3 linked regions of the Lytechinus pictus genome follow. The protein of the gene in region 1 binds, or shares a complex with, the protein of each later gene. Links are inferred from orthologs where the notes say so. Each region holds a gene or a part of one and is shown in the gene's direction. Other genes may lie near its edges.

Evidence for each region. The genes of interacting proteins can lie anywhere in the genome.
Region 2: mediator of RNA polymerase II transcription subunit 23-like (region 1) and mediator of RNA polymerase II transcription subunit 16-like share a complex: the UniProt entries of both Drosophila melanogaster proteins name them as parts of the mediator complex. The link is inferred for Lytechinus pictus from reciprocal best matches to the Drosophila melanogaster genes MED23 and MED16.
Region 3: mediator of RNA polymerase II transcription subunit 23-like (region 1) and mediator of RNA polymerase II transcription subunit 31-like share a complex: the UniProt entries of both Drosophila melanogaster proteins name them as parts of the mediator complex. The link is inferred for Lytechinus pictus from reciprocal best matches to the Drosophila melanogaster genes MED23 and MED31.

The regions. Positions count from the first base shown.
Region 1 is NC_087261.1:120,579-128,942, forward strand, and holds the start of mediator of RNA polymerase II transcription subunit 23-like, read left to right. Parts: upstream 1-5,173; 5' UTR 5,174-5,268; intron 5,269-8,364. UniProt on the Drosophila melanogaster protein: Component of the Mediator complex, a coactivator involved in the regulated transcription of nearly all RNA polymerase II-dependent genes.
Region 2 is NC_087257.1:27,441,012-27,448,713, reverse strand, and holds the start of mediator of RNA polymerase II transcription subunit 16-like, read left to right. Parts: upstream 1-4,598; 5' UTR 4,599-4,751; coding exon 4,752-4,801; intron 4,802-7,702. UniProt on the Drosophila melanogaster protein: Component of the Mediator complex, a coactivator involved in the regulated transcription of nearly all RNA polymerase II-dependent genes.
Region 3 is NC_087246.1:17,366,776-17,374,908, forward strand, and holds the start of mediator of RNA polymerase II transcription subunit 31-like, read left to right. Parts: upstream 1-5,029; 5' UTR 5,030-5,037; coding exon 5,038-5,125; intron 5,126-5,425; coding exon 5,426-5,522; intron 5,523-7,047; coding exon 7,048-7,489; 3' UTR 7,490-8,133. UniProt on the Drosophila melanogaster protein: Component of the Mediator complex, a coactivator involved in the regulated transcription of nearly all RNA polymerase II-dependent genes.

The DNA.
Region 1 (8,364 bases):
CTTCTGAACATGTATTGTATACCATGCTTGTTTTTTTCTCAGTTAGGTCTGAGTGTGCATTTAAGGCCTATTGTAGGCCCCTAATGCAATATTTAAACCCTTATGAAACTGGGGGGGGTCAATTTAAGCCCCCACTTGACAAATTTGGTCACTACGCCGTCGCGCAAAATTTTTTGACCGCACCGCTTGCTGACTTTTTACTGTCAAGTCTTGCGCATCTTTCGAGCCCAAATTTGCGATGCCTGGGTGCTTGTTTTCGGAATTATGCAACATTTTGTACGTGCAGGTCGGACCCAAAATTGCTCAAAAATGTGATTCCGTGTACAAGGTCAATGCAAATTGTGTTTTTCAATCAAAAATCATAAATGTATGACTATTTTTATTTTTGTTGGTTCAAATGGATTTATTTTATGCTATTAATGATCGCAAAAGAGTCCCCGACAAAGTTCATCGGAAAAAACAAAGGTTCGAAAAAACAAAGAAATACAAGTTTAAAAAATAAAAAATACATAAAAAATTATATTTTTTGCAAGTTTTTGTGGATATTTGTTATAAAGGTAAAGATTGATACTCTCACCAAAAATTAGCATTCTACTAGCTTAATGAATTGATTTAAAGGCAAAAACATACAAAATTTTAATAGGGCAAATTTCATATGCTTATTTGCATAATTAATTAATAAATAATATAAACAGTTAATTTTTGTCAAGTAACTTTGATGCAGAAGTACAAGAAATTGCTGATAGTACACTTAATTGCATGTAAAATCAAACGCACACAAATAAGCGGAAATCTACTACACAGTTGGCTGGCATGAGTGGCTGTATAATAGAAAACATAAAGTTCAACAAATCCACTTTTAATATTTTGAACTTGAAAAAAATAAAGCAAATATGCTGAAACCATGTAATATTACGGTTGTAAGTAGTTTAAGTATAATTCTTAATTGACCATGCAGTGTTCCAACTTACCCCATACCATGTTCCAACTTACCCCGATGTAGGGTAAGTTGGAACGCTTGCGATAGTCTTTTTCAAGGTGGATTTTTTTTCAGTAACCATCATAGATTTAAAAATTTTATGGGGTACATTTGAAGCCCTTAGATATATGCTTCAAGCTGATATATTGATTGTTTCTCAAATAAAGTCTAGGCCTATTTGGATTTTACAGCCATTTTTGTCCAAAATGTTCCAACTAACCCCGGTCTCCCCTACTTTCCATAATCTTTTCTTTAATGAACTTATCTTCATTTGTAATGATTGCGATGGATTCGTAAGCTATAGGCCTAATCTGTGTCTTAAATTCAATTAGCTATTTTGTTACTGCAGATTTTTTGTTTTGTTTCACTGTTTCACATCCCAAGTTAGCCCAAATCCGACAATTAATTTTCATTGATTAAAATTAATCTCAGCAAAAAAATAATAATTATAATGGAAATGAAATAAAAATGAATAAATGATTTACCATTAACATTTTAGTTTTGTATCGTGTTTTTTTTTGCTGAACGCTATAAACACGTTTTTTACCTTATATAGGCCCTAATTTCTTTTAAAGAAATTTATTTTCATGTTGTTTAATAGATAAAGAGACAGCATGAGGGGTCAGAGAGATAGTGCCGCCCATTTCGATATTTCAAAAAAAAAATTAATGGAAATGGTGTGGGGATAGGACAGGGGAGAATAAAAGAAAACATATTCAAAAAAAATATTTGGGCCTACATTACCCCCGGACATAATACCCCGAAGAAGTTAAAATGACATCCGTTTTCGGTCGTCTTGCCATGCAAAAAGACGACCTGAAATTGATGACAACTAGCCCCCAATAAAAAATAACTTGGCACCATCCCAGATAAAATGAATCAATGAACCTTCTTGAACCTTCTGAAGTTTGCACCGGCAGGGCAGTAGACTGCAAATGGCCAGCGTGCTGCTCACGTGTGGGTTAGAGTGTTGCTCTAAAAAAACAAACCAAAAAATGTTTAAAGGTGATGTCAGTGTGGCTTGCCGTAAACGCATTTTCTCTCAATGCCGACGGTGGCGGGCGGTGTGCAAAGAAGATCATGCCTACGTAGGACATGTTAGTATACTATTCTACCTGCACTGGAACTGTGTATGTTAGCTGCAGTATACTTACACAAGTTTCATTATTGAAGGGAAAAATCAAACATTTGAAATATCTTGGTACACACATTCCATATTATAGCAACTCATCAGCAACTTTGGATAATGACAAACCTTGGATGACACCACAGATAAAAGCAATCATAATTGAAAGAGAAAAAGCTTTTGAGAAGAATAACAAACCTCTGTGGCGTAGTCTCAGAAATAAAGTAAATAGAATGATAAAAAGTGCAAAAAAACGTTATTATAACACACGTGTATCTCATCTTAAATCAACAAATCCAGCAGACTGGTATAAACAAATCAAGATTATTACAAAAAAGAACAACACATCTAACGTAATTGCTGTACCTGGTGTTGAACCTAATGATAAAGATCGTCAAGAGAAGACTGCTGATACCATTAATAAACATTTAATTAATATAGCATCAGATTTGGCGCCGTTGGATAGAAGTTGCTTACCAGCTTTTTTACCTTCTCCTTGTGTTTGCCCAGAAGTACAACCTTATCAGGTTTATTCTATGCTAAAGAAAATAAAATGCAGTAAAGCAGGTGTAACAGATGACTTACCCCCTCGTGTAATTCGTGAATTCGCTTGTGAACTAAGCCATCCTCTTGCCAATATCCTTAATACATCATTTCAACAAGGGTTAGTACCTTGGCAGTGGAAGCGAAGTCAGGTTGTTCCCATTCCCAAGTCAAAACCACCGAATATTAAAGAACTTCGACCTATATCTCTTACATGTCAATTCGCTAAAATTGCAGAATCATTCATTACGAAATGGTTATTGGAAGATATTTCTAAATATATTGACATTCATCAATACGGAAACAGACAAGGTCTGTCAACTACCCATTATTTGGTAAAATTATTGCATTGTGTATTGGACAACTGTGAAAAATCTAAATCAATATCCACTATTGTTTGCACAGACTTTTCCAAAGCCTTCGATAGACTTGACCATAATATTCTGATTCGAAAATTAATTGAATTTAACGTAAGACCTTGCATAATTGAGTGGATAGTTAGTTTTTTAGAAAATCGTTTTCAATCTGTTAAATATCAGGGTGTATTGTCGTCGTATATTAAAAATCATGCTGGAGTGCCTCAAGGCACAAAATTAGGCCCGATATTATTTTTGATCATGTTTAATGATGCATGTCAGAATGAATCTTTACCGCACTTTAAATATGTTGACGATCTTACTATAGTTGAAAATCGTTCAATACAAACTCCTTCTGTATTACAATGTCATCTCAATGCACTCGTTACCTGGTCATCTGATAATCATATGAAACTAAATCCGAATAAATGCAATGTAATCAGAGTTACTTTTTCTAAAAATCCACCATTACCTAATCTATTGCATATTGGTGACACTTCTCTGCAATATTCAGAAACTGTTAAAATACTTGGTGTCTATATTCAGTCAAACTTAAAATGGGATAAACAAATTTCAGATATTATAAAAAGGTGTAACAAAAAATTGTATATGTTCAGACTTGTCAAACAATATAAACTCCCTATGTCAGACCTTGTTCAAATTTACATTGGATATATTCGTCCAATATTGGAGTATTGTGTACCGGTATTCAACGGAGCACTAACTGCTAAACAGGTAAAAGACTTAGAAAAAATACAAAAAAAGAGTTTGCAAAATAATTCTTGGCTCAGATTATATAGACTATGAAGATGCACTAACAAAATGTGGATTAGAATGTCTTGAAAGAAGACGAAAAAAACTGTGTATGGAATTTGCTAAATCTCTTTTAAAAAACCCTCACTGTAACAACTGGCTACCAAAAAGAAAAAATATCTCAATCTCATTAAGAAGTGTTCCAAACTTTGCTCAGATAAAATGCAAAACAGATCGTTTTAGAAAAAGTGCAATACCTTATTTCATTGATTTACTAAATTCTAAATAAATTTCTACTTTCATACCCTTGAAGTCAACTTAAATCTTTGCCATTGTTTTAGTCTCCATTTCAATCCAATTGATATTTGAATTTTTAATTGTCTAATATTCATCACTTTTAATATTGTATTTACATAGTTTCTTTACCATTCTATTTTATTATATTTAATGAATTTTTATGTACACTTGCTCTTTAAAAATTATTTATTATTTATGTACATTACAGTACATGTTTAAATTGTAATTGTTGCTTTTATCCATGACTTGTGAACATTTTATTGTAAACATGCTAACTTCAGCCTTCTGGCTGTGTAACATGTATTGTTTTTATACGAAATAAACCATGATTGAATTGAATTGAATTGAATCTCGCAATATGTGTGAGTGGTCTGGAGGTGTCTTTCCAAGGACCATTCTTTGTATCGCCCAAATCGCCTTTGTGAAACAGTTGAGCGATATCTCGTTCTTACGTAGAATGGTTCTACGAAAGACCCTTTCAATGCAACAGGCCCCTGGTGATATCTAGCGGAATTAGTTTCGGCTAACAATTATTCGCGTTATATGAAGCTATGTTAACAGACAACTCTTGGCATGCTTGGTTTGCGTAGCCGTAGTCTCGTACTTCGTAGACATGTTCACCATGTTCACAGACAGTGCGAGGCCGAGGTTAGAAATAGTAATTATAAATTAGTATACTTACTAACCTCGCAATACGTGTGAGTGAGACACTAAAGTTAGTGAGAGTAGGCCAGCGCCATTATTATAACCTCGTTCGTAGGATGAGTGGCCAGGACCTAACTAACGTTAGATAACTTAGAATAACTTAAGACCAAGAGTTAAAACTTAGATAATTATAACAACATGAAAAAGCATGTGTGGGGCTGTAAAATTGGGCCACTCCACTCCCACCTCATCTGGAATAAAACGGGATATGGATTTTCGAGAGTACAAATAGCCATATGACATGTATGAGTTGGAAAAAAAAATATGATGAATAGGATATTCAAAAGGGGTTATTAAATGGTATAATTTTGTAATTCTCACCTCACCTCTAATTATAATTTAACAAGATCAAACGGCCCGAGCTCGGATCCAACGAAGATGGCGCTATAGTAATTCAATTCTGTGTATGTTTATGAGGCGAAGTTCAACGGTGGCGCTGGCAGTGCAGTGGCGAAAAGCGTCTTTGTTTTCCGACTTTTCCAGCCCAGATTCTTTTTACTTTTGTTCATGTGAGTTCCAACAATTTGTAATTTCTTATTACTGAGGCGTAACATAGATTCACGTACCTTACGGTACCGGTATGTGGTCTGTACTTTTTATCTTTAAATAAAAAATGAAACTTTTTCAAGTTCAACTCCTTTCTTAGTCCCATTCATTCAAAATCGTGCATTGAAAATTCGAGTTGCTTGTTTTGTATGAGTGTCCACCCCCCACCCGGGCCGCGTATTTTTTATTTACACCACTGCTCCGCCAAAATCCACAAAAATACGAAAGGAACGGCTCGCGGGCAAGTCTAATCTGTGCGCTCAAGCAATGCAAAGCTCTCGGATCGTTCTCGCGTGAGATTTGTGTTAAGTTCTCATTTGTATGAAGTTGATTATAGCCACTCCTAGTATGGTAAGACCACCTCTTTTGAAACCGACCACCTTGCGCGCGTTAAAATTATTGCGTATTACAAACGATACGCGCGGGAGAGTAGGCGCAGTGTCCATAGAAACGGTAAGAATCGATTTTACGAGAAAAAAAGAAGCAACAAACAGTAAAGATTTAGTAGAATTAATCAAAATTGTATTGACCAAACCCAAAACCCGCTGAAAAACCAAGAAATCCGATAGGAAACGGCTTTAGAACAAATATCCGTCGTCAATCGTCGAATCATGCGTCGGAGCTCGCAGTGGAAGTAGTGAGGCGATCATTTAGCATGTTGACGTCACTCATAGAACTGATTTGAAAGAGTAAAAATATTTCGCCACCGCGACAAGAATCGGCCGTAAACTTAGTGTACCGCGGGTGGTCGGTTTCAAAAGACGGGTGCAAATGAGCAAATGGAAAATCGTCGCATTCGTTGATCGTCGATATATACGCAAATTGAATCGGAGTCGCCGAGCGAAACATGGGAATCTGATCTGCTCAATTTTCTGCACAAATGAGACGAAAACTGGGTAAAATTGATGAATATTTTCGCAGATATGATGCTTAGAAGATTAGGTGGTCGATAAGGGGTAGTTCCAACCATACCAATGAGGTCCAAACATTAAGATGTATGGACCTCATAGGCGACATTACCCAAATTATGGGTTGGACAATGCTGTTCTGATTTCCAACCCAAGACTTTGGTAAATGTACACCTTAATACAAGTTAGAGTTATCCGATATACCTTTCATTCGGACGGCAAACCTTTATTTAGTTGTAAAAATAGTTGAAATTAAAATCGATTATTGTTAAACTTACATTTCAGGCCCTTTTTGTTGATTTTCGGTGAGCATTCCACACAGCTGCGACGAGTGATCAACTCCGAAGTGATACGCGTACTGGTCAGCTGATCGGTCAGGTGATCGGTTGGATATCTTTTTGTCAGACGTTCATAATTTATGTTAAGCGTATCAATCTTCAGTATCTTGATTTCAAAGCATCAGTATTGCAGAGAAAAGTCATTATTGATTGGAATCAGTGGCGGGGGGGGGGAGGGGGGGGGTGAGCATTTCTGCCCGTTCCCCCTTTTGAGATTTATAGTAAACATTTTGGAATTAAATATGTTATTAATACTAGTTATGGGGTGCCCCCCCCCCCCCCTCATGAGAATCACGTACAGCATTATTTGTAATGGGGATATTTCGTTCATATTCTTTTCTCTTTTTTGCCTTTTTTTTTAATTGCCAAATTCAAAATTTTACTGGGAACAAATTAACAATATGACTTTCTATACATCACTTTTAGGGACAAACTTTTTTTTATGGGGGTGGGGGTTGGGGGCTTGCCAAATATAATCAATGGTGGAAAAAATGACCTTCTTTTTAGTGACAACTTTATAAAAAAATTGTCAAATTTTACGCGAGACAAAATGACCTTCGATCATTGCTATAGTTAAAACCTTTTTTTTTTTTTTTTTCTTATTTTTGTGGGGGGGGGGGGGGGCTTGCCGAATATTACGCGGACAAAATGACTTTCATTTTGAGTGACCATTTTTTTTTAACTTGTCAAACTTTACGCAAGACAATATAATGACCGGTTTTTTTTTTTTAGTAAGAATCTTTTTTGGGAGTTGTCAAATTTTACTTTGGATTTCACCAAAAAAAAACGGGATAAGAGAAAAGGAATGAAGGAAGGAAAAGAAAGAAAGAAAGAAAGAAAGAAAGACAGAAAGAGAAAGGGAAGAGAAATAAAAGGCCATAAAAAAGCAAAAGGAAAGAAAAATGCATGCGAGAATAATTCCGAATGTTATGTCAAAATCTATTGCAAAATTGATATTTGTAATAAAAGTGACAAAGGTTTTGCTCGCTCGCCTCTTCATCTGGTAGGCGCGTAGCTAGGGGCGGTGCCCCCCGAAAAGGTCCCTCCCCCCAAAAAAAAATAAGGAGGGAATAGAGAAAATAAAAAGCGAAATGAGAAAAGGGGGATGTATATAACTTAGTTTATAATTGTTTTTCCTTTTTTTGGGGGGAAGGGGTCAAAACATTAACGTTATGTTTTTCTATAAATAGGTCTAATTGCTAAATATCCAGAGTTATCGAGACCCACCTGCTGATATTGCACTGGGGGTACACGATGGAAGGGTTAGGCCTAGGGGCCCCCGAAAGTTCTACAACCAAGATAAAAAAGAAATTAAGGGAATTAATGAAAAGAAAAGGAAAAGTGTAAGTTAAGATATCTATCTCAAATTTAGATTTGCACGAAAAGTTTTTTTCTCGCTTGCTTCACTCGCTTGGAACATATAAAGCAACTTTATTCCCACGCGCCATGTATGCCTACATTGGCCCTCTTTCTTTCTTTTATTTTTTATTTTTTTTACTCATCACGCTACCGTACTGCCACACACGGGTTTGCCCTAATGATCGTGGACAATCATAAAAAATATTATTTTCATACCATGTGACTGGGAAATTTTTGGCTCCACCCCCCCCCCCTCTCGATCCCTGTATCGATTTTGACTTGATAGGGGCCTATACCTGATGGAATTAGCTTCATTCAATATAAAATCATAACGGATAGAACGCCTTGAATACAGGCCAAACAGCCTAACGACATTGCCGTGTCACGTGATAACCAGTATTAAACGAGAATGTGCACAACCCTATGGCGACAAAATTTGCCGCAAAAGTTGAGC
Region 2 (7,702 bases), on another chromosome or scaffold:
GGGACATGGAACATTCTGAACTTGTACCGCAGTGTCTTCTCCTTTAGATTCCTCAAGCGGGGATTAGGGATCCCCTCCAAGGCCCTATCGCCGAAAATCTTGAGTAGTGGCTTGTGGTCCACGGCAATGATGAGATCCTCGCATCCCAAGACGAAGTATCGTGCCTTGTCAAGGGCGTCCGCTACTGCTAGAGCCTCGCCTTCCACCGGGGCGTAGTGGGATTCAGCAGCATGAGTAAATTGACTCCCTACAAGTGTTACCTTCCAACCTGTGACACAGCAGAAGGGGATAGTGCCATCGCAGGTGCAGTGTTTCTGCAGAAGCCAAAAGCCAATGCCATCCTTAGACCAGTCCGTTGCCAGGCAGGTCGGCTTGCTGGGGTCAAATATCCTCACGCCATCTTCGATCTCGCCGGCAATAACAGCCTTGGAGTCTTCAAAGGCACGCTGGAGGGCAGTAGTCCACACGAATGGCGTACTGGGCTTCAGGAGCTGACGAAATGGTAACATCTTCTCTGTCATGCTGAAGGCATACGATACTTGGTTGACAAGCCCAAACCATGACCGCACATCAGTGATATTAGACGGTGCTGGAAAATCAAGGATCGCCTGCAGGTATTTCTGGCATGGCCGGACACTGTCAGTAGTGATTTCAAATCCTGCGAATTCGACAACATCTGCGCCAAGTGTGAATTTGGCAGGGTTGAGGATGATCCCTTTCCTACCACAGATGTCTAGCCATTCGACTGCTTGGAAGAAGCTGTCAGCTAATGTGTCCGCCCAGAGTAAGACGTCATCAACACACTTTGTCTTGTATGGGATGGCTGATACAATCTCGTCGTATCGCCTGGTGTAGCCGTAACCAGAAGCGATGTATCCCTGAGGCGCGGTTTTGTAGCGGTATCTACCCCAGGGTGTGATGAATGTTGTGAGATGGCGATCTTCCTGGCAGATGGGTACACTGTGGTAGCCATTCCAAGCATCACAGACAGTCTTCTTCTTGCCGTGTGGAACTGACCTCGCTTGGAGAAAAGGGGATTGAGTGTGGTGTGCCTCGCGGGTTGCATGAGCATTGAGGGCCTGGAAGTCGACAGTCCTTCTCGGTTTGCCATTCTTCTTGGCACACACAACCATCCTATGGCACCAAGTGACAGGCTCACCAACAGGTACAGGTTCAAGCACACCCAGCTGAACATCGTGATCTAACCCTGCCTTGACTGCATCCCGCCAGTGGAGTGGTACAGGCACGGGGGTGTGATGTGCGATAGGCTCTGCATCGGGGTCCACCATCAGTTTAATGGGAGGGCCATCCATCAGGGGCAGTGGTTGGTGTTCGCAAGTGTTGAACGTACTACTCTTGTAATAATCAAGGAGGTACTGCTGGAGCTTGGCACGGTTGTCCTCAGTTGCCGGGAAAGGTAGTGAGGTGGGAGGCGGTGGGGGCAATCTACGTTGAGGGCAGTGGCAGGCACGTCTTGTATGAGGCCCCTCAAGGACTGCAGCCGCGTCCGACAGGGGCGGGTCTCGTGTCGCACCCAGTTGTGGGAAACTATCTGAGATGATTCCAAGGCCAACACAGGCTTCCCGGCTGAGGAAGAGCTGATCAGAACTGTCTGTGACGTAGGTAAGCTGTCTCGTCCAGACGGTACGGCCTTGGGCACCCGTGCCAGACAGACACAATGGAATGGCCCCAAGAATCCTGACGCCCCCTTTAGTGGCAGTCCGCATCTTCATACTAACAGGGATGAGGTCCCGTTGACGTAATCCAAGGCGGCGAACTATCTTCATGCCGGCCAAGCAGCTCTGCACCCAGTGTCAGCCATAGCAGGGGTAGATTGAGGCATCGTAGGGGAGGAGAGCCGAAATCCAAGAGCTTCATAGTCATCAGGGACAACCAGAGCAGTCACATCTACAAAGGGTTGCGGGGAAGACTTCCTTCTGATCCATGCTTGGTTAAGGCTATCATAAACGTGATGATCAAGGGGAATGCCATGGCCTCCGCAGGAGTGATCATAGCCATGAACAGAGCAAAAGGAGTCAAATAGAGCATTCTCCTGTTCCTCAGGGGTCACCGGAGGGAGACGTTTTGGTTTGTCCCTGCTTCGGCATACGTTCTCCATGTGATGGAATCTATCACAGTGCCTGCATTTGTGTCCATAGGCATCACATTGTGTCTTACGGACGTGAGCAGGGGCACCCCGTCCATGTCCCTTCTTGCCACAGTAGTTACACAAGTCTTGGCCTTCCTTGAGGTGCATTTGCTTAATTGGTTTTCCGATATGAGCTGCTAGCGGAGTTTACGACGTGAGAGTCCAGGAGGGATGAAGCAGAACGCTTGCCAGCCTCCTTCGCCTCGATGAACTGGAAGACATCTTCTAACCCAGGACCAAAATCCAGCTGAAACCAATTAGAGCAAAACCAATTGAAACCAGTTGGCCAACTGGTTTCAATAGGGAAATTGGAACAACTGGAACCAATTGAAACCAGTTGCCAACTGGTTCCAGTTAAAACCAATTGGGCAACTGGAACCAGTTGGCAATTGGTTTCAATTGGTTCCAGTTGAAACCAATTAAGCAACCAGTTGGCAACTGGTTTCAATTGGTTCCAGTTGTTCCAATTTCCCTATTAAAACCAGTTGAATCCAATTGGAGGTAACTGGTTTCAATTGGTTCCAGTTGAAACCAATTGGAGGCAACTGGAACCAGTTGAAACTAATTGGTTTCCAACTGAATCCAATTGGAACTTCCAGTTGGAATGACTTAATTAGTTACAAATTAATTAGATTTTGCACTAACTATTGCTCATGCCAACAAAGAAGCAGTGCTCTATGTCTATAATACCATTGTTAAGTGCATTGATAAAATAGACTTTCATAATGTATGTATATAACAAGAAAGATCTTCAAATATATGTATTTGTATTTGATGTAATTTGGTAACAGTTAGTGATGTACTAATTATCTTATAATCTGTTTTAATTATAATATATAACATTTATGAACATGGTTTTCACTGCTAAGCATTCTAAACACTTATCTGAAACAAGTATGGTACTTGAAATAGAAAAGAATTAAATATATACATTTTAAATGATGATGAATCACATAAAACATTAATCTGTGCACACTGGCAGATAATATGCAAATTAACTGGTTTCATTGGAACCAGTTGGGTAACTGGAAAATTTCCAATTGGAAACCAATTGGAAGTCATTTCCACTGAGTTACCCAACTGGATCCAGTTAGGATTTCCAGTTACCCAACTGGTTCCAGTTAGGATTTCCAGTTACCCAACTGGTTCCAGTTAGAAATCATTTCCAGTTGGAAGTCATTTCCAGTTACCCAACTGGTTCCAGTTAGGATTTCCAGTTACCCAACTGGTTCCAGTTAGAAATCATTTCCCGTTGGAAGTCATTTCCAGTTACCCAACTGGTTCCAGTTAGGATTTCCAGTTGCCCAACGGGTTCCAGTTAGGATTTCCAGTTGCCCAACTGGTTTCAATTGGAAATTGTTATATTCCAGTTAAAACCAATTGAAACCAATTGAAACCAATTGAAACCAGTTGGAAATCCAACTGGTTTCAATTGGATTTTGGTCCTGGGAAGTCCATGGTCTGGTTCTTGTCCCCCAAGAGGTCGAGCTGATCGAATCTCGGGGTCAGCGATTCCCCTGGTCAGGGCATCCCGCAGTATCTCATCAGTGTAGTTGACATCCATAGAGCAACCAGGGCACTTAATGATGAACTTACAGATCCCTGCTTGACCACGTAAGCGGGCCCGAAGCTGCGGACTGTACTCATCCCGGTCCTGGCGCATGTTATGTAGCGCCACTCGAGCTACCATGGTGTTTTCCTCACGCACAGCGAGCCTCTTGATTGCCGCCAGCACCTCTGCTTCAGACTTGGTGGTGAGGCTGACGCCAGAGGATCTTGTATAAGGTCCTTGCGAAGAGGCTCATCGCAGCATTCAAGGAGTTGCACGACCTTGTCCTTAATTGCCAGATATCTTGGTAGACTCCACATAATCGGACCATCGAGAAGTGAAGTAAGCCCAGTCCTCGCTTGTACCGGCTGCAACTATGGTGGGCCTCTTGACCTTCTCTATCTTGGCAGCAGACCCTGTCCCAGCAGAGGCATGAATTGTGGAGTGGGTCGTGAGCAGGGCAGCAACAATAGAGGCATCCAGATCCGGCGTGGCGTAGTCGCAGCCTGGAATTGGGCAGCATACGGTAGGCATGGTGGTAGCTAGGCAGGTTTGAACACAAAAGCTGTGAACATAAATGGGTTCTTGTACCGTTTGTCTTTATCCAGTAGATGCTGAATCAGCAATGTTCACAGCTGTGGAAAGAGCAGAACAGTAAAGTTAGAAGTATAGGTTTTAGAATCCTCTAGTGGATGCAAAAAGAAAATAAGGAAAAAAGAAAATTAGAGGAGGAGTACATTACAATTCTATTTTTTGATATATGATTTATGTTTGTTCTTTTTTTTCATTATTATTATTGTTGTTGTTTTTTTTTTTTTTTTTTTGTTCTTCGGGGTGCATTGCGAATATTGAAAGAAATCAGAAAAACAATAAAAACTGCCTTGAACAAACAAAAAACGCGTCACTCTCAAGCGCCATCTACGTTGATGAATATTGAGTTGGTTGCAGCAGCCTGAATTTTGCAGTTTTGCCTAAAAGTGAATCAAAATTTGCGAACCTTTCAAATCAAGTGTTCCTTTTACAAATTAATGAGAAGCATTGGATACTGGGAAGATGGAGCTTGCATTTGTTGCTGACTGGCCGAAAACGGACGCTAATGTTTGGTGAGAGAACTTGTTCAATGTGTCCCATACGTTCATATTTGTGTCAGTGAATTAGATATTGAACATGTTATTGTTAATGTCATTTCTGTGACCCATACGTTCATATTTGTGTCAGTGAATTAGATATTGAACATGTTATTGTTAATGTTATGTTATGTTATGTTATGTTATACCTAGCCAGGCGGCTTCTAGAGAGTAAAAATCATTTACTAACGTAAGGTCACTCTCATGAAGCCAGGGCTTCCGTCATATACTTTTGTGTGTACCACCAAAAAACCTGAAACTTTCGCCCCCGAGATTTCTACTTTCTTTTTAAAAGATCTAGCCCTAAAATCTAAATCATGTACATGGGATAAAACTTTATTTCCGACATTTCTACGCTCTCGTTGTTATTTTTTAACAAGAATTCATCAAAAAAATGAGAGAAATATTGTGTAAAGACGAAAGAGACTTGCCCGATGTTTACGCCGCCATCTTGTTTTCTATTGTTCTTCCCCAACGTTACCCGAACGCACGCGTCTGTAACGTTGGCGAAAGTAAAGAAAGTAGAAATCTCGGGGGCGAAAGTTTCAGGTTTTTTGGTGGTACACACAAAAGTATATGACGGAAGCCCTGGCTTCATGAGAGTGACCTTACGTTAGTAAATGATTTCTACTCTCTAGAAGCCGCCTGGCTAGTTATACCGAGGTTGTTTTACCTGACTGCTAAGAAAGCACGAATGCCTATGTTAAAAGTAACTTCAGATTTGCCAACATTTAGCTATCACAGCCGGTTTGAAAGTACGACACTCTCGTATCTGTCACCGTGTTAAATTGGTGAGATCAATAACATAATTTCGACAAAACACTCAAACTTTTTTAAAAATAAGAATGGTAATAATGGTATGTAACTGTAAGGACTAGGCCTAAGGGAAATAAGTTTTAATTTTTTATGCCAGACGATTACATTTAAAACTATCACAGCTATCACAGCCGGTTCGAGAGTACGACACTCTCGTATCTGTCACCGTGTTAAATTGGTGAGATCAATAACATAATTTCGACAAACACTCAAACTTTTTTAAAAATAAGAATGGTATGTAACTGTAAGGACTAAGGAGTAAGGGAAATAAATTTTAATTTTTTATGCCAGACGATTACATTTAAAACTTACATCATGTGTCTTGACTCTTGAGTTTGACTTTGAGGTCCATTAATTTTACAGAGACGATCTTTTCACTCGTACATCCCAAAAAAGTCGCCATCTTGAAAATATTAAGTTTTGTGGGATCTTACTTCCGGGTTTTATTTTCTCCCTCATATCGTCGCTATTCGATGAAACATCAATTTTCTCTCTTTTCGAGCATGATTCCGAGTTCGAAAAGGTCTTTTGATGCTGAAAATATGAAATGGGTAAATGGATGAACAAAATTGTGTTTTAAAAGTGATTTTTTGTTTGCATAATTCATGAATATTATCAATTTTTGTTCGGCCTTTATCTTTTATTTCTCAGGTGACGTTTTCTTGATGCTGATGTATGAATTAGGGAAGGTTTTTTCTTTGGGCGATGGCCAAGCCTTGAAATAAGCACCTGAGAGCCGGGATCAATTTTTTTTTTTTAATTGCCCCCGGCTCACAGGCTTTTTACAGGAACCGGGGGCAATTTAGAAAAAATATATATAAAAGTGAACCACACCGCAAATTTGTTTATAGTAAGCGCAGCTCCTACAATTTTTTAATTAGTACATGAATAGCATGCTAAGTATTAGGCTTATTCAAACATTTAAGAAATCAGATTTAAATGTTTAAGTGTGTTTTGACACCCTCACTCCACATCCCCTTTACAACCACACACACATGGGCTTATTTATTTTTCATCTTTAATGAACCACGAACAATGAACCCCCCCCAAAAAAAAAAAAATATGAATAAAATGAAAATATAAAAAAGAGAGAGATGGAGAAAGAGAATTCAGATAAAAAAATAATAAATTTAGAAAAAAAATAATAATTTTTAAGGTTTTTTTCATGGTTAGAATCACGGGTGTGGGTGAGTGTGACTGTGAGGTGCACTTGGATTGCATATAAATTATGTTAAAGACATGAAGAAATTATATCAATATCTAACTCAGTCTATTCAAATTCCAGCACATAGCCACAGGCTATGTACATGTATTGTAGGTTCATGTACCTTAAGTTTTTCACAAGTTATTTGAAAACGCAGATCTCCACAGAAAATGCCTTTCATTCTGGGAGAGTCTAAATTCGGTGAAAATGTATTCATTAATAACTTAAATATTCATCACAATGAAGAAATCATAAAGTTTTTTGACAGTTTTCAAAAATTAACATGAAATCTAAACTGTATCTGAAACGGAAAATCACCATCACTTAGGCCATTACTGATAGAATTCTCACCCAGAGCTCTGGCAGAGAACATGAGCTCAAACTGGCTAGCTAACACCACACTCAAGTGCACAGCATCCTCCTCTTTTTTTTTTTAGATGGAGCCTTGTTTGATGATTTATTGTCTGATATTTACCTCTCTCCAAGAAAGAAATTAAAAAGCTACAATTCACAACTATAAGCTAAGTGATTTTGGATTATTAAGGCTCCGTTTTGACAAGCAAAGTCGGCGACTTTGAGGATAAAAGACTCGCACATCGTATGTGCTGTGAACAGGGATTTTAACGGATTTATCTCCTGTGCAATTGGAATTACTATATCGCAGAATTGTGATATCCCAACTGGAAATGTGTGCATTAGAAATTGCATATGGTGAAGTATGGAAAAACCGCTACCGGAAGCACGCGCGCACATGTATTACAGAAAAAAAAAGACGGACGTAGCTCACTTTTTATGGTACAGAAAAAAAGACGCACTTGGCAATTTAAACTGTGTTTATCGTAAATTGAAAGTTACTT
Region 3 (8,133 bases), on another chromosome or scaffold:
ATGATCAAGGTCAAAGGTCATTTAGGGTCAATGAACTTTGGCCAAATTGGGGTATTTGTTGAATTACAGCCATAAATTTGAAAGTGTGTTGGTCTAGTTCATAAAACTTGGACATAATAGTAATCAAGTATCACTGAACATCCTGTGCGAGTTTCAGGTCACATGATCAAGGTCAAAGGTCATGTAAGGTCAAAGAACTTTGGCCACGTTGGGGGTATTTGTTGAATTGCCATCATATCTCTATAAGTGTATTGGTCTAGTTCATAAAACGTGGAAATACGAGTAACCAAGTATCACTGAACATCTTGCGCGAGTTATAGTAGTTTTCAAAATCAGCACTGCTGCTATATTGAATCGCGTGATGCAGGTGAGACGGCCAGAGGCATTCCACTTGTTTCTAGGTTAAGAGAGAGTTTGTTAGCTGTTATCCAATTAGACACATTTTTTAGTTCGTCATTGAATATTTGCGTCAATTGCTCTGGGTCGGGGTGCGACAGAAATATATTAGAGTCATCAGCGAAAAGTATAAATTGGAGCAATCTAGATGACATATCAATATCATTTATATAAGTAATGAACAAAAGTGGGCCAAGAATGCTGCCCTGTGGAACTCCACAAAGGACAGGTTTACGTTCAGAAATATTACAATCAAGTGAAACGAACTGTGAACGCCCGGTTAGATAATTCTTGAACCACTTTAGTGGTTCCCCTCTTATTCCATAATGAGAAAGTTTATAAAGGAGAATGTTATGATCAACTGTATCGAATGCTTTTGAAAAATCTAAAAACAAACCAATCGTATTCGAAGACTTGTCATAAGCTTTGGCAACTGTTTGAACCAAAGAAAGTATTGCGTGGGAAGTGCTACTCTTTTCCCGGAAACCAAATTGAGTATCGGATAGGATGTTGTGCTTTTTAAAAAAACATATGGTTCGTATGTGAACCAATTTTTCAAGAATTTTAGATAAGTTTGTAAGCAATGAAATCGGTCTGTAATTACTTGCTAAAGAACTATCACCTTTTTTGAAGACTGGTATTATCTTAGAAATTTTCATTGATTTTGGAATATTTCCCGATGATAATGACAAATTGAATATATAAATAAGAGGGTCAATTATATAATTCATAGTTTTTAGTAAAAGGTTGTTATCAATGTTATCAAATCCTGCACTTTTATTTGATTTTAGGCTAGATATAATTTTAATTATCTCCTGTGCGTTCGTAGGAGAGAAAAACATAGAACTTTGATTTCTATCCCCCAGATATTGATGAAATGAATGGGAGTTTGTTGGTATACTTCTAGAGAGCTTAAATCCAACTTGTGAAAAGTAATTGTTGAAAATATTTGCCATCTGAACTTTATCTTCAATAATAGAATCATTATGCATAAGCTTAGTTATCTTTGAAAACTTTGGTCCATTATTGATGGTAGAATTGATCAATTTCCATGTTTTTTTAAGATCATTCTTGCATTGATTAAATTGATCATGGTAATATGCCTTTTTAGCAGTACGGATGACCCCTGTAAGTGTATTCTTATAATTAGTATATTGGCTCCGAGTATTCTCAGTTAATCTTGATATATATTTATAGTATAATCGATTTTTTCTATTTATCGAACGAAGAATTGAATTTGTTATCCAAGGTAGTCTGGGTGATCTTTTATAATTTTTGGACTTGGGCTTTGCAAAAGGAATATTTTCATTAACATGACTCATGAAGATATCAATAAATGTTTCGTAGGACTTGTCAACACATTCTGTACTAAATACATCATCCCAAGATTCTTCTTCTAAACTCTGTTTCAAACGAGATATATTTATATCACTATACACACGCCTCTTAGATACGTAATCGGGAAGTTTGTTTGGCTGATATTGATTAGAACAATACATGAAAATTGGGAAATGATCAGACATGTCTGAAATAATTATACCAGCTTTAAATTCTGAACGTATATTGGAGAAAAAATTGTCAATCAGAGTTGCGGAAGTATTAGTGATTCTAGTGGGTCGAGAAATAAGTGGCAAAAAGGAGGCAGAAAGGAATGTCTCTAAAAAGTCATTTGCAAAAATATTAGTATCACTCGCTAACAGGTCATAGTTAAAGTCTCCCATTATGATACATCTTTTGTTTTGAACAGAATGATAATGTAGTAAATTATTTAAAGTGTCTAGAAAATCAGCACTATTGCTGCGAGGAGGCTTATAAACAACTCCCAATACAGTTTTTCTGTTATCACGATCACTAATTTCAATAAATAAAGTTTCTGCAGTTTCATTCATTAAATTCATGTCTTCAATAATAACATACTCAAATTGACTCGGCACAAAAATTGCAACACCACCACCAATTTTATCAACACGATTATTTGTAAGTATATCATAACCTGGGAGTGCATTCATATTAATATATTTATCTGACAGCCATGTCTCAGTTAAACCTATTACTGTATTTTGGGGAACACCTGAGTTATCTAAAAATAAACGAAATTGTTCAAAATTCTTGTTAAGGCTTCTGATATTTAGATGCAAAATAGACAAGCAGGAAGAAGGTAAACCTTTGAAAATGTTTTTGGCTGAAGCCTGAGTGTAGTAGTTTGAGGATATGACACTCGAAGCCCCATCATTTGGATCTAAATCAATTTTAAGTTCATCATTGTTAGCTCCAATATCATTAATAACATCATTGGAATCATTGGAAATGTTCGTAATCATATCAAAGTCAATCATTATTTACATAAAACACCAGTATAATATAAACATATATGCGTAAGAGAGTTTTACTTAATTTTGTTCAGATCCTCTTCTCGATGAATTGCAACCGGTGGAACATTCGGGCTCTTCCTCACCAGAATGGTGCCATTCACTGTCCATAAGAACATGTATCCCGCCTTCTTTCTCTCGTCATTTGCCTTCTTCAGGAGAGACTTCTTAGCTGGGGCTAGATTTTCGTTGAGAAACACCTTTCCTTCATCTCTTGAGAATCCCAGTTGACGGGTTGATGTTTCCCTCAGTTTTTTCCGGCCTGAGTATAGAGTATCCCTCATCCTTCTGGTCGTGAATCTAACGATGATTGGTCTGGCTGGACCACCTTCTCTTCTCTGACCAAGTCGATGTGTCACATCAATGTCGTCGTTGGATACCTCTGGTGAAATTTTCTTCATGACGTGAAGGACAGCCTCCCTCACATTCTCACCTTCCTTCTCAGGAACACCTGCCACTTCTAAGTTGATCCTTCTGTGATATTGATCCAAATCATTCACTTGGTGTTCAAGTGTCGTCATCTTTGCTTTCAGATCCTCATTTTCTTTCTTCATAGAAGCATTCTCACTACTCAGCCTTTTCACCTCGCAGGTGAGCTCATCCACTTTATCGCTGAAGAACTCAGCAGATTTTCGAAGTTCATCTTGACCAGATTTAATTTCATTGAGTTGTGATGTTAGTGTTTTGTTTAGTTTTTGAAGTTCAGACTTGATTTCAATGAAATCTTCGAACGTTATGGACTGATTTTTCTTAGGTCCTGGCATACTCTGTTTATCGATGACGTCACACTGACCCGACCTGATTTGGATGAGATGGATGGAGATGGATGTTGCGCTTCAAAGATGCCTTTTAGCGTAAAGTCATATGCGTCTTAGTGATGCGCGTTAGTATCTCGCGCGTGATGTTGATTTTCAAACAAGATTGAATATTAAAATTGACGAAAATTAATGTTCTTACCGACGATAACGTCGCAGTTTTCAAAAGTCAAACAATAAAAATCACATCACTGGCTTTGGTGTCCAATTAGCTTTCACACAATGTAAAATGAAGCAGTCATTTCAAAGTATTTCCAAGTATTTGTTGACAATATTCAGAGCAAAGCAAAAACACGTCTTCTCCCTCCAAATTATTTATCACCTGATAAACAGTTTCTCCACCAAAATAATTACAAATTTAGCGGGAAATTTTGAGAATCGGGAGGAACAACAAATAACTAGATCTAGTTGTTTCAGCTTTCATTTTGAGTCTTGTTGTGATCGGTGCGAACTTGTAATGAGATGGGAGATGCCTGTGTATGATGCCACCGTTATTTCATCTAATTTTTAAGTTTGACAATGTTTCACTTTTAAATCTTATTCATTTCTAAAACATTTTATTTCTTAAAAATTGTAAGAATGTATTAAAAAACACCAAATATGATTTTTGTTAGATGATTGGATTTTTGTTGCTTGAAGTTTGAATTTTTTCCTCTTTCTTTCTTTTTTATCCTTCTTTCTTCTATCCTTCCTGCTTGCCCTTTTTTATTCTAATTTCTATCTTTATTTACTATTTTTCTTTCCAGGCTGATCCTTTCTCTCTCTTAATTTTTTCTTTCCTTCTTTCTCTTACTTTCCTTCTTGTTCCTTTTTAAATTTCCTTCATTCTTTCTTTCCTTATTTTTTTGCTTCCTTTTCTCCCTTCCTCTCCTTTTTCTTTTCGTTCTTTCTCTCCTTCCATTATTTTCTTTTTTTTTCATTCTAGCTCTCCTCCTTTCATTCCGACATTTATACAATATTTATTATATTTTAAAACATTAAAAAAAAAAAAAAATTATAATGAGAAGATGAGATCAAACTTACCGATGTTTACGTGGCCATCTTGTCCTCTTTGTTGGTAGCTAAGCTACGAGACGCATATAAAGGGCGGCAGATGTCTGCAAACAATTCACACACACATACAAAAGTGCATAATATATATGCGTGAGAGTTACTCCATTTTTATTGAGTCACTGTACTTGCATTACAATACTGTACAAGTGTACATTAGATAGTTTAATGTATTTGTAGAACAAGGAGAAAAAAGACAAAGGAGGACTGTCAAGTGTCAACATAAAAGAGTATATTGCTATAATAACGTCAAAAGAAAGTAAATTTTTTTATATATTTTGAGATTTTTTTAGCTGTAACGCCAAATGAAAATCAATTTTAAGTATCATAAAAGTAGATGTACATTAAGTGTATTTTCTAATCAGCTTCATCTTTATTCTTATTTTGTATATTTGTCTTATAAAGGAATGGAACCTCCACAAGACCAAGAGCAGATCCGATTTGAAGTGGAATTGGAGTTTGTTCAGTGCCTAGCCAACCCTCACTATCTTAACTGTAAGTATGAATAGTAGATACCTCTACTCTCTTAATGCAGTTCCTGAAATGTTCTTCAAATTCAGAATACTGGCTTACACTTAAAAAATCCTTACAATCTCTTCATATTTTATTGAACCATGTTGTTTTGGGACGGTACAAAACAAAAAAAATCCTTTTGATATTGTGTTAATAGTATATGCAATGAAAGAGATAGGAATTCTCACAATTGTTCATAGAATACTTGTTATAAATCTTTATACGTTGTGGTACATCCCTTATCTTCAATTATTATTCTGATATTTTTCTTTCATTTTACAGTTCTTGCCCAGAGAGGTTACTTCAAAGATAAAAAGTTTGTTAACTATCTTCAGTATCTTCAATATTGGAAGGAGCCTAAGTATGCCAAATATCTCAAGTAAGAATCAGAGTTTGATTGTAATCCATTTAAGACTTATTCAAATCAACTTTCTTTGTTTTCTTTTTTTTTTAACCCATAGAAGTATGCTTATACCATTACTCATTGAATATGATTTGGAAAATCTACTGTAGAATTGATACTTTTTCCAGCACAATATATGGTGCTATTCCTTCAAGAGAATGAAACCCTTGAAACCAGTTGAATTCATAGAAAAGAGAAAACTCTAAGAAATAGAAACAGAAAGCTTGAGGAAGTTTGAATGAATGATAAGAAAGTTATGAGCATTTGAATATTGAGATCACTAATGCTATGTAATGTCACACACATACAGTTTCCCCATGACTTTAATACATATCTACATGTAGTCTATCACAAGATTAGGTGTTCTTTTTATGAGAGGATACGTAATAGAGGTTTTCACAACATAAAATCCTAAATGTGTTGTTTGTCATATTATTAGAATGATAAAAAAGTGATCCTTGAGTATATTTCAGAGTTCTTTCTTTATGATTAATGATGAAGGAAACCTTTAGTAATTATTCCCAGACAGGTCTGAATGGCCTGAGTGTGAAATAAGCTGACAAATTGAATCTGTTTAAGAGAGATTTGTGTCATGATTGGCTATACATATTTGAAATATTACTTTATACCAGAGATCAAATTAGAACTGAATTCAGTATACAGACATTAGCTTAGTAACTACTATTTACATATAATTTCCAGGCTTGTTTGAAAGTCTTGTGCATCAAAATGAGTCAATAAAATTGAATTTGCTAAAATTAAGTGGTGCTAGAAAGATATACACATGTATACTGGTGAGCGTGTCTAAAGTCAAATCTCTAAAGGACTACAGGAATCAGTCCCTGTTCGAAATAGCAGAGGTACTAAATAGCACATGTTTTTGCGTTATCTGGTCTTAAGTAAATACCAACACATTAGAGATTGAATTTTGAAGACTTAAAGGGGAAGTTCACCCTGAAGAAAAGTTTATTGTAAAAATAGCAGAAAAAGTAATAAAAAATATTGGTGAAGGTTTGAAGATAATCCATCAAAGATTAAGAAAGTTATTAGAATTCAAAGTTTTGGATTTGTGACGTCATATGCGAGCAGCATTCCTACATAGCGAATGGTAAAAAATCAATGAAATGTCATTTTCTCAGAAAATTGAAAATGGTTTTACTGAGCCTTTTGTATATCAATAGACAAATCATTTCACACCCAATCATAAATAGAAAACAAAATAAAGTCATCAGGAACCATAAAAAATTTGAAATTCATTGATTTTTTACCATTCGCTATGTAGAAATGCTGCACGCATATGAAGTCACAAATCCAAAACTTTGAATTCTAATAACTTTCTTTATCTTTAATCCTCAAACCTTCACCAATATTTTTTATTATTTTTTCTGCTGTTTTTACAACAAACTTTTCTTCAGGGCGAACTTCCCCTTTAAATGTGTATGTAATACTTGATTGATTGATTTTTTTAAAGTGATCCATTTGTTACTTGTTTTGGTATTAGATTTCCACAATGTCTTCATTTCTTGGAGCTGTTGCAGTATGAACACTTTAGGAGAGAATTAGCCAATGCACAGTGTGTCAAGTTTATTGAGGATCAGCAGCTTCTGCATTGGCAACACTACACTCGGAGGCGTATGAGACTACAACAGTCTCATCTAGAGAACATGCAGCAACATCAACAACTCACCCAGCAACAGCAGCAACAAGGAGTCCCAGGAGCTGCCGGCGGAGTGGCAACAAGTGGGACTTCAAATCAGCCAGCAGGGATCATGCAAGCGCCCTTGCCACCTCAGCAACATCCTCATCAGCAGCAACAACAGCAGCAACATGCTTCACAACATCAGCAGCAACAACATCAACAAATGGCTTCACAAATGAGAACTGGTCAACAAGAACAAAAGCCATTACAACAAGGATCTACAACACAACAAACAATGAAATGATAATTAAGAATACAATCCCATTTATGCTTCTTCTGTGATGGCTAATACCTAGCCGCTGAAGTTAGCTTATGGAATTTCTTTGTATGAGAATATCAGAAGAAGATATTTAAAGACGTTGTTGGAAGAAAGATTGAACACCAAGTGGAGCTAAGTTGCATTACTTCCTACAGTTCAACCAAATTATTGTAGCCACATCGTCTAGTGGTTCAGACTTTTGACTTTCAATCTAAGGGTTGCAAGTGTACACCCACTCCAGGATGGTAATTTCCTTCAAGAAATTTGTCCACATGACCCAGGTGATGTACACATTTGGATGGTTCTGCTGGTAGAATTTATTCATTGAATGGACAAATCATATTGATGATGATTAATTGAACTAAAGCTGGAGTAGTAATATCTTTAGTTATATTAAAGTGCAAACATACTTTAGTTTATTATAGCTGAAGCAACCTCAGAGACCAAAAAAGCTACAATTTTAGTTAAATGTTGTATTTTTCTACACAGTAAACTCAGTTTTCAACAAGATATTGCTATATTTCTGATCCCTGCACTTAATCTCTGTTATAGAAAGTAATATCACCCAGTCCCCAAATTGCTGAATTGACAGCATCCTAGCACTTGACAGGGTGCATCTACAATGATCT